2 linked regions of the Arabidopsis thaliana genome follow. The protein of the gene in region 2 interacts with the protein of the main gene of each other region in a biochemical or structural test. Each region holds a gene or a part of one and is shown on either strand. Other genes may lie near its edges. The genes, in order: CAM5 and WRKY21.

What was found.
Region 1: the proteins of WRKY21 (region 2) and CAM5 form a complex in vitro, tested with the Arabidopsis thaliana proteins (one study listed by BioGRID).

The regions. Positions count from the first base shown.
Region 1 is NC_003071.7:11,530,124-11,535,081, reverse strand, and holds CAM5 (calmodulin 5), read right to left. Parts: upstream 3,116-4,958; 5' UTR 3,014-3,115; coding exon 2,938-3,013; intron 2,396-2,937; coding exon 2,026-2,395; coding exon of another isoform or gene 2,022-2,025; exon of another isoform or gene 1,798-2,021; intron 1,006-1,797; coding exon 906-1,005; 3' UTR 724-905; downstream 1-723. Other genes in the region: PAG1 (20S proteasome alpha subunit G1), read left to right, coding at 3,918-4,327, 4,459-4,498, 4,808-4,891. UniProt on the Arabidopsis thaliana protein: Calmodulin mediates the control of a large number of enzymes, ion channels and other proteins by Ca(2+). Among the enzymes to be stimulated by the calmodulin-Ca(2+) complex are a number of protein kinases and phosphatases.
Region 2 is NC_003071.7:13,031,512-13,036,589, forward strand, and holds WRKY21 (WRKY DNA-binding protein 21), read left to right. Parts: upstream 1-1,906; 5' UTR 1,907-2,379; coding exon 2,380-3,251; intron 3,252-3,331; coding exon 3,332-3,457; intron 3,458-3,647; coding exon 3,648-3,792; 3' UTR 3,793-4,286; downstream 4,287-5,078.

The sequences.
Region 1 (4,958 bases), 1.5 Mb from region 2:
TTTTTCTTTTGTTTCTTATCCATAAGATTTCCATTTTGTCCCATACAAATTGAAGTATCATAGAGAAAGGGAACAATTAGTTGCATCTGACCAAAATATTCAACCGATTAATATACGCGATGGATTTTGTTTTCCGATATCGGTTGTTGCCATGTTAAATTCAAATTGGTATAAGTGTTTAATGTTTGATGCTAAGTGACACAAAGTGTTTCAATGCATTTGGTGTTATAAACTAGTATTTGGATATTATATTCTTAATCATAAGTTTTCTTAACGAGAGGCTTTTCGAATTCATGTACAATTTGCATTTCTTGATTTATTATGAAAATACTTAAATAGCAACTGATTAGAAAGACTTTTAAGTTTAGGTTTAGTTCCTAAAAAAGTATTTTCTTTGTTTTAATTGTATTATCATCTCACAAGAATTAGACCATATGCCCGCCCACATTGTTGATAGATAGCAAATGCCTAACGCCTAAATCAACTGATAAATTATAACAGTTAGATCGCCAGAGTATTAGTTAAAGTCTCCTAATATTGGTCGTGTATCTTTTCTGAGTTTTCTCTTGCTAATATCTTAAAAACATTGTGATAGTGTTTCTGTACTAGTGCCACCGTCGTATCATAACTCGGATTTAGTGTTGTCGCTATATACTTGGATTCAAGTTTGATAAGTGTGCGTATGTTGTAGACGAAAATTAAACATTGTGGTAGATAGGAAATGCCTAAATGAACTTACTATATTGATAGTACTTTAAAACTTTTTATATAACAGTATAGTAAATATTTAACATATTCAAACAAGATATGACATTTAAAATCCGTTTAATGGGTGTGAGAGGTACAAATCTCTTATTGCACACAAACATATAAAGAAAAGGAATTAAGAAGCAAATGGTCGGAGCTCAGAGAATACGGCAGTGACTTTTCCGGCGACCATTCTTTTCTTTGTATTCAGCAGAATTGCTACTACGCTTTGCTGCCATAACTCTCTTCCCTCTTCTCCTAATAAATTACACACATTTTAAAATAATTAGGTATCAAGATTTTCGATAATATTTAAAAGAAAAAGAAGAAACTAAGCCTTGTAACAAAAAAAAGTAAAAATAAAAAATACTGGTTACCAACAAAAAAGTTCAGTCATAATTAAAGGTTTGGAGATTCTCATTTCATCTATCTAGCTTTTGCTACTTACCATCCATTTTTGATTTTATTCCCCAAAACATATCTGCCTTTTAATTTAAACAATTACGTTCTACCTCACGAATAACTACTGTATGCATACACCACTTTTTATATGTTTTTGTTAAAATGTAGAATATATTGAATCAAGAAAAACACGAATGTTATTTACAAAGCTGAAAGTTGAAGTGGGGAAAAAGAGAACTGAAGCTTGAAAACTTTTGAAAGAAAAAATGAAATGGAAGTTATGTTTTTCTTTAACCCTTTTTCGTATTTCCTAAATTTTATCTCTTGTTTTAATCGTTACAAATGATAATACTTTTTTCTAACAGTTTACTTATTTTCTTATATGAACCGTAAAATAAGAAAAACATATTTTAATTTGACTCAAATTATATGGATTATTGCCAACATTCCTCTAAAAAATAGGGGAATTTCCAAATTGACCAACAATTTAAAAATAAATAAAAAATTCTAAGCTTTTAAAACTACCGATATAATGTTTTCAGACATTTTTCCTACAAATTTTAATCACACAAATAACCCTTTTTTTTTTTAACAAACATTGCAAACTATAAAATACAATAAAATAAAAAAGTACTAATACCAAGAGATAGCTTTTTCAACGACCATTACAATGGTACTTCACATAATATAAAATAAACTAAAAACTTCCAAACAAATAATTTAACCCAAAGTCACAAAATAGTTCATAACATGAAATTTGGGACGAATGCATAATAATGAACAGTCAAACATAGAATAAAGCAATAATCAGAGTTGTTCAATTCAAAAAAAGAAAGAAAGAAAAAGAGAGAAAAGATATGAGAATAGTTTCCTCACTTTGCCATCATAACTTTGACAAACTCTTCATAATTGATCTGACCATCTCCATCAACATCAGCTTCTTTGATCATCTCATCAACTTCTTCATCAGTTAACTTCTCACCAAGATTTGTCATTACATGTCTTAACTCAGCTGCCGAGATGAAACCGTTCTGGTCCTTATCGAAAACCCTGAAAGCTTCTTTGAGCTCTTCTTCAGAGTCAGTGTCCTTCATCTTCCTAGCCATTAGGTTCAGAAACTCAGGGAAGTCTATGGTTCCGTTACCATCAGCATCTACTTCGTTTATCATATCTTGTAACTCTGCTTCTGTTGGATTTTGACCTAATGATCTCATCACTGTTCCTAGCTCTTTCGTTGTGATGCAACCTAAACACAAAACCACACATTTCTCTCAAATCAGTAACAGATTTTAACACCAAATCTTCAAATTTTCATTGTAATTTACTCTAATAACACACAAAATCTTCAAATTTCATTTTAGTTACTCTAACAACTGTATCAAATGAACACAAAATCTTCAAATTTCATTGTAACCTACTCAAATAACTGAATCAATTAAACAAAAAATCTACAAATGTCAATGTAATCTACTTCGATTATTGAATTCTAAGATTTGTGTCAATTCTAATCACAATTAGTAAAATCTGGAAGACTAAAACACGATTAAGTTAGAGATTATTATCGAGATAGATCCGATTGCGATTATAATTTATAATCAACGAACGATAAAGATATCATCAAATCTCGCGTTTAATGTTAATGTGAATATCCAGAGATTTTATGGACAACGAAGAGCATCAAATTCCTAAAGCCAAGACTAAGTGATACTCAAAACACCAAAAAAAACGCAAGTGAGTCTATTATGAATGAAAATTATACAAAAGAGGAAAGATCTGAGAGAGAAGAACCATCTCCGTCTTTGTCGAAAAGGCTAAAAGCTTCCTTGAACTCAGAGATCTGATCATCGGTGAGCTGATCTGCCATTTTTTGGTTTAGATGAGAAAGAGAGAAGAAGAAGAAGAAGAAGAATCAACGTTGGTGTGTGTAATGAGAGGATTGTTGTGTGGAATTATAAAGAAGGAAAAAGAAAAGGCCCATTAGGCCCAATAACAATAATTTCGAATCTGATTCTCTTTTTTATTCTTCTTTTGTTTTGTTCTCCACTGGGCCTTATTGTGTTTTCAATTCGACTAGCTTTACTTAAGAGGGAGGTGATGTATATATTCCCTTGTGAAAAGAAATAGTATTGTTGTTTTGCCGACAACCATTTACATGCTTTGAATGGTTTAGTTCATATAAGTTACTGATCTTACCATGCGTACCAATACTAAGTATTCAACGAGTTGGTAGAATGGGATTACTAGTGATATAAAACGGTAAAAAAGGTTTAGCTTTGTGTTTACCATGGATTTTAAACTACTTTTTAATTAAGTTAACCAAAGAAAAAGTTTTAGCATTATAAGAAAATTTAGAAATAGTAGTACTTTTTATTTACTGTTTTTGTAATTAATAATCATCTAGGAGTTAGGACAAAAATCACTACTTTGTTGTTGGAAGGGTCACCTAATGGGTAGTTAAGCATCATGACCTTCACTTAAAGATTTGATATTAAACAAGATCCAGTTTTCGCAAAACTGTCATACTTTTTTGATCGCCACAACTATGTCTCTCAGTTTGGCTAGAGATGTAGTAAAAAACAAACTTATTGTATCCATCACAATTATAGGTAATTTACTGTCTTGGTTTTAAAAACATGTAATGTTGAGCATCCCAAAGTTTGTGTGTCCCAATGCTAGAGCATATTATAGTCTTACCTCTAGTGAGTTCATAAAGAAGTGTTGTATGATCATATATTTTGTTGAGTAAGAGAAATATTTCTTTCTTCCTCATGTGGTTGATTATTCAAAATTATACAAAAGAGGAAAATCACTTAAAAATATTCACGATACCGTTAAAAGATTACCAAAGAATGGGCCAAATCATAATATTAATAAAGCCCGTTAATAACCGAATCGACCCACCCGACAAAACAACCCGAATCGTTTTAATATCCAACCCGGAGTCAGACGGAGCTCCAAAGATTTGGCTTGTCTCTGGCTTGAGAACAAAGAAAACCCCTTTCTTCGATCTCAGCTTAAATCACTCGACGAAGAAGAAATCAGAAAAGAGTCAGAGAAAAAAAAAATCAAGGAAGATGAGTAGCATTGGAACTGGGTACGATCTCTCCGTCACCACTTTCTCTCCCGATGGCCGTGTTTTCCAGATCGAGTACGCCGCTAAAGCTGTCGACAACAGTGGGTTAGTTGGCTTTATCTTCTTCGATCTTCGCCCTTTAGTAGATCGGATTTAGCTTCTGAAAACTTTGAGATTTTGGTTATCGACACGAATTAGGGTTTGTTAAAAGTCTTTCCCTTTTTTTTTCTTCGCAGGACTGTTGTTGGAATCAAGTGCAAAGATGGGATTGTTATGGTTTGATTCTTCCTCCTTCCTCTATTGATTTTTATACTACTTTGTCACTTTCTTCAGTGGGTTTAGTCTCTCGTGCTGTGATTTAACCTTGGAATGAAGTATTCACATTTTTGTTATCAGAATTGTAGATTTGATGTAATATATACCGTGTAAATTTTGACCCAAGATGACACATTTTACAGTCCCTTAGTTTCATTTCCTGTTCGATATGTTGTGAATCTGTTGTTAGTTTTGGGTTTTGTAAGATTTTACGCAGATTTTTGATAAAGGAATGGTCTTGCTAAGTGTTTATCATTTGGTGGTTTTTAGGGAGTTGAGAAACTTATTGCATCAAAGATGATGCTACCAGGTTCCAACAGGAGAATCCATTCTGTTCATCGTCATGCTGGCATGGTATGTTTTTTTCTCCTAAACTATAGGAAATTAGTTTCTGCTGAGGATATGTATCTTTCAAGTTTTT
Region 2 (5,078 bases):
TGAATTAGATTCAACGTGGCCAATTCATCTAACATATGTTACTAAAACAAGCGCAATAGACGAGTTGGCGTAATTTTATTTTATACTATCTATAAAGTAACGTATGATTCGTCTATCACCAATTATCTTGTAAATGATGGTAAAATGTCTAAATTCGTTTGTCGCTTAATAATGATGATGATATACGTTACTTTAATTAAAAAAAGCGAATTTTCGATAGATACTCTATTAACTAAGCATGCACATATCACGTTGTGATTGATTTATGCCTAGTAAATAAAATTTATCTCCAGCAAGAATAATTGAAACTTCATAACTAATTTTGAATGCTAAAATGTTAAATTGATATATGGGAAACAAGTTATGATACTCAAGAAGTCACCAATATCTAGTATTGGAATCGCTGTGGTGTTTGTTTGTAGATATTTTTCTACATTTAGCAATGTATTACATTATGATTGCAAGAGGAAGCAATATTAAGGTATTAATAAGGTTTTTACTTTTACCGGGTTAGAATTTTGGGTTTGTTTATTGGATGAAGAAATTATCCACTTGTCGATCTTTCATAAAAAGCACACGTGAATTAGTTTCGACATAGTTATATAGTTCTCCTAATATACGTTATTTGAACAAGAATACTTGACTAGTTGATGTAACGATGTTTTCTTAACGTTTCAAAAGTAACGTACGATTCTTCCATAACCAAATGTCTTGTATATAATGGTAGAATATATATTTTGTTTTGTCGCCTAATGATTATGATGTGCGTTACTTTAATTTAGAAAGCGGACTATTTAAAAACTGCTATATTGAAACCGCAAGAGAAAGCAATAGTAAGGTATTAATATGGTTTTACTTCAGCCAGATTTAAACCACCAACAATACTTTAAACCATTGGTCGATCTTTCACCACAAAAACCACACGTGAATTAGATTCGGTGTGGCTAGTTCCCTAAACATACGTTACTAGAACAAGCGCACTTGACTAGTTGGCGTGACGATGTCTTTCTTACTAATTTAAAAGTAACGTATGATTCGTCCATTACCAATTGTCATATACCTAATATAAAATATAAATTCGTTTGTCGCTTAATAATGATAACATGCGTTACTTTATGTTAAAAAGCCAATTTTCGATAGATTTTCTATTAATTGTAACGTTATAATTCATTATACATAACAAAAAAAATCTTCAACAATAATATATTGAAATTTCATAACTAATGGATGCTAAAATGTTAGATTAATAGATAGAGAAAACTTATAATACTCAAAACATTTAACACCAAAATTTCCAATATCTAGTAATGGAAATGTAATGTTTGTTAGTATATAAATTTCTGCATTTAGCAACACTTATGCTTAAAAACACATCATTGATCCGTAGAATAAAAAGACACCTCAAGTGTACTAAGTAACCGTTAGAAACTGCGTAAAAAAGTTTGGTACCACTTTTTCTTTTACTTTTTTTGTTTTGTCAAGTTACTTATCAAAAACTTGGAAATTAACTTTCTCTCTTTTTTTTTAAACTCGTGAATAACAATGAAACATTCGTATATTTTTATATCATAAAAGAAAACAATACGGTATTATATGAACAAAAAAAACTTAAAGATAAAAGAGGTCAACAAAATGTCCGAAGTATGATGATGCTAAGTTTGATTAGTTATCTTTTTTATGTCAGAGAACAATTAAATTTGTTTTATTATTATACTAAAAGAAGAAAAACCTAAACTGCAAAAATAATAATTACGACCCGAGTCTTCGAGTAGGACCCACCTCTGAATCTGTGACAGACGCCGGTTTCGTTCTCTCTCTCTCCTTTTTTTCCTCTCTTTGCTTTTCCAAAAAATAAAGTTGTCTTTTTTTATTTATAATAAAATGATTTGTTGTTTCACAGTGTGTTGTTTGTTTTGGGGTAAAAAAGAAAATCATAAGGATGCTTTCAATATTTGTTTTGTTTTGGTTGAGTGATTGCTGAAGCCAACTTAAAAGAGAGAGAAGAGAAGAGTGACTCTGTGTGTGTGTGCAAGAAAGTCTTCTCTTTCACACCTTTCGTTTTCTCGAACCTCTCCTTTAAAGATGGTGGAGGAATCTTGGGTTTGACAACTCATTAACACTGACCCTCTTTTTAGCTCTACAAGCATCCAAGGAACCCCTCTTACTTTTCCCTCTTCTTCATTCCCTCTCTCTCTATATCTCCCAATTCCTTCTCTTTTTTTAACCTTGATCTTCTTCTTATAAGAGACTCAGAGCTGTTCTTCAAGATGGGATTGTGTAAGCTTGAAACTTGACTATCTGGGTCTCTCCCATTTTCTGTTCTCTTTTGTATTCTGAGTGAAAGTTTTGTTTTCTGGGGGAAAAAATTAGGGTTCTTAGATGGAGGAGATAGAAGGAACAAACAGAGCAGCTGTTGAGAGTTGTCATAGAGTTCTTAATCTTTTACATAGATCACAGCAACAAGATCATGTTGGTTTTGAAAAGAATTTAGTATCTGAAACTAGAGAAGCTGTGATTAGGTTCAAGAGAGTTGGGAGTTTGTTAAGCAGTAGTGTTGGTCATGCTAGGTTTAGAAGAGCTAAGAAACTTCAGAGTCATGTCTCTCAAAGTCTCTTACTTGATCCATGTCAACAAAGGACAACAGAAGTTCCATCATCATCTTCTCAGAAAACACCGGTACTCCGGTCTGGTTTCCAGGAATTGAGCTTGAGACAACCTTCAGATTCACTCACTTTAGGGACTCGCTCTTTTAGTTTAAACTCAAATGCTAAAGCTCCTCTCCTTCAGCTTAATCAGCAGACAATGCCTCCTTCGAATTATCCTACTTTGTTTCCAGTACAACAACAACAACAACAACAACAACAACAACAACAGCAGGAGCAGCAGCAGCAGCAGCAGCAGCAACAGCAACAGTTTCATGAACGGTTACAAGCTCACCATCTTCATCAGCAACAGCAGCTACAGAAACATCAAGCTGAGCTTATGCTTAGGAAATGCAATGGTGGGATAAGTTTGAGTTTCGATAACTCTAGTTGTACTCCAACTATGTCATCCACTAGGTCCTTTGTTTCTTCACTTAGCATAGATGGTAGTGTTGCTAATATAGAGGGAAAGAACTCCTTCCATTTTGGGGTTCCTAGTTCAACTGATCAGAATTCACTACATTCTAAGAGGAAATGCCCCTTGAAAGGAGATGAACATGGAAGCTTAAAATGCGGGAGCTCTAGCCGATGCCACTGCGCTAAGAAGAGGTCAGTTCCATATTTTTGTTTCGTTTTCATAGCCTCTCTTTACTAAGATGGTGTAGTTAATCTGATTGGGAAATTGACAGGAAACATCGGGTTAGGAGATCGATTAGAGTACCGGCTATAAGTAACAAGGTTGCAGATATCCCTCCTGATGATTATTCATGGCGAAAATATGGTCAGAAGCCCATCAAGGGCTCTCCTTATCCCAGGTATACACTTCTTGATCATATTTTGTTATGTTAAGAAGTGATAAAGATTGATGTCACATGCAAAGAACCATCCTTTTAACATTAAGGCTTTTGAGTTTTGATGAGAAAAAAGAGTCTAAAAATGGCTAAGAGATGACACAAGTAAGATGAGTCCTTTTAAGGAAGTGTTGTATTGGATTTTTGTGTGCAGAGGATATTACAAATGTAGTAGCATGAGAGGTTGTCCAGCGAGGAAGCATGTTGAGAGATGTTTGGAAGATCCGGCAATGCTTATTGTTACTTATGAAGCAGAGCATAACCACCCGAAATTGCCATCTCAAGCTATAACAACTTAACTCTCGTTTATCTTTGCGGTCCAGCATAAACCTTCTCATGTATGTTGTTCTCTTTTGTGCGCGATGATCGGCTTTGGGGTTGCTGCAATGTTGTGATATATGGATCGGGGTAAGTGCTTTTGTTGGGGTGGATTTGCTTGTGAGAGTTTGCTGCAATTGTTGGATTTTGAGCTATATATGGGGTAAATGTAGGATTGGTCAAGACTCTTTTTCTGTTTCTCAAGTTTATTGGTCTTAATGATTAAAAGTTTAATGGTTTGTTTCTGGCTATGTATCTTTTTTTTCTTCTCAAGTGGCTTTTTCTTTTATGATTGGTACTGTTAGAATTTGGAGATTGTTGCTAAGTAACTTAATCATTTAGCAAGGTAGCTTAAATCTAAGATGATTAGGGATAAAGAATATTGGATTCTGTTCTGAGTTTAGAGAATATTGGATTCTGTTCTGAGTTTAGAGAATATTGAATTCATGTATCAAGCATAATGAATGAAACTTATTTTAAGACAAAATTGAGTTTGAGATTCCATTTTAGGAATAGACAACAAGTCTACAAAGTGCTCACTTATGTACTAATATAAGAATTCACTAAGTTAGTAAACCTATCATTAATCCCGAAAATGTTAAGTAGTTTGATGAAAATCAGAAGTATGCGTAAAATAATAACAAAGAATGAGAAAATCTGACACGTTTAAGCGCATTTTTGGTAAATTTAATCTGAATATTCATCTCATTCTTTTTTAAAGAACACTTACACTAATTACATTCCCTTTTCTTCTCCATTTATCATGTATTTTATATAATATTCTCATCTAAAAGATCATTCTCATTAATAGTATAGATTATTTAAAAGTGGGTGTTGAAACCTACAAAATAAAATTAAAACACATTTCAAAACTTTAAAATGGATGTCTCTTACATATGTAACAGAAATCACATTGTCCAACTATCTACTATACTTATGTGAAAAAAACATACATATGCCCAAAATTGTTATCAAACCAAAATGTTCTGGAAATAGCCCATTGGACATCTATTTATAAAATTGCATACACTTTAGCTAAAAAAAAGTACTTCAGTTTGTTGTTAGAATATTCAAATTCAAGAATTATTTTTGAAAGAATTGTGTGCAGAATATCAAAGAAATTTTGAAATAATTCAGAATTGTGTACACAATATCAAAAAATCCATTTCGAAAATGCTTTGTACACTTGTGTTTTGGCTTGTATTTTTATTTTAAAAGTATGATATGTAAAATAAATAGGAAGTGTAGGATTATTCTTTTTCTTGTC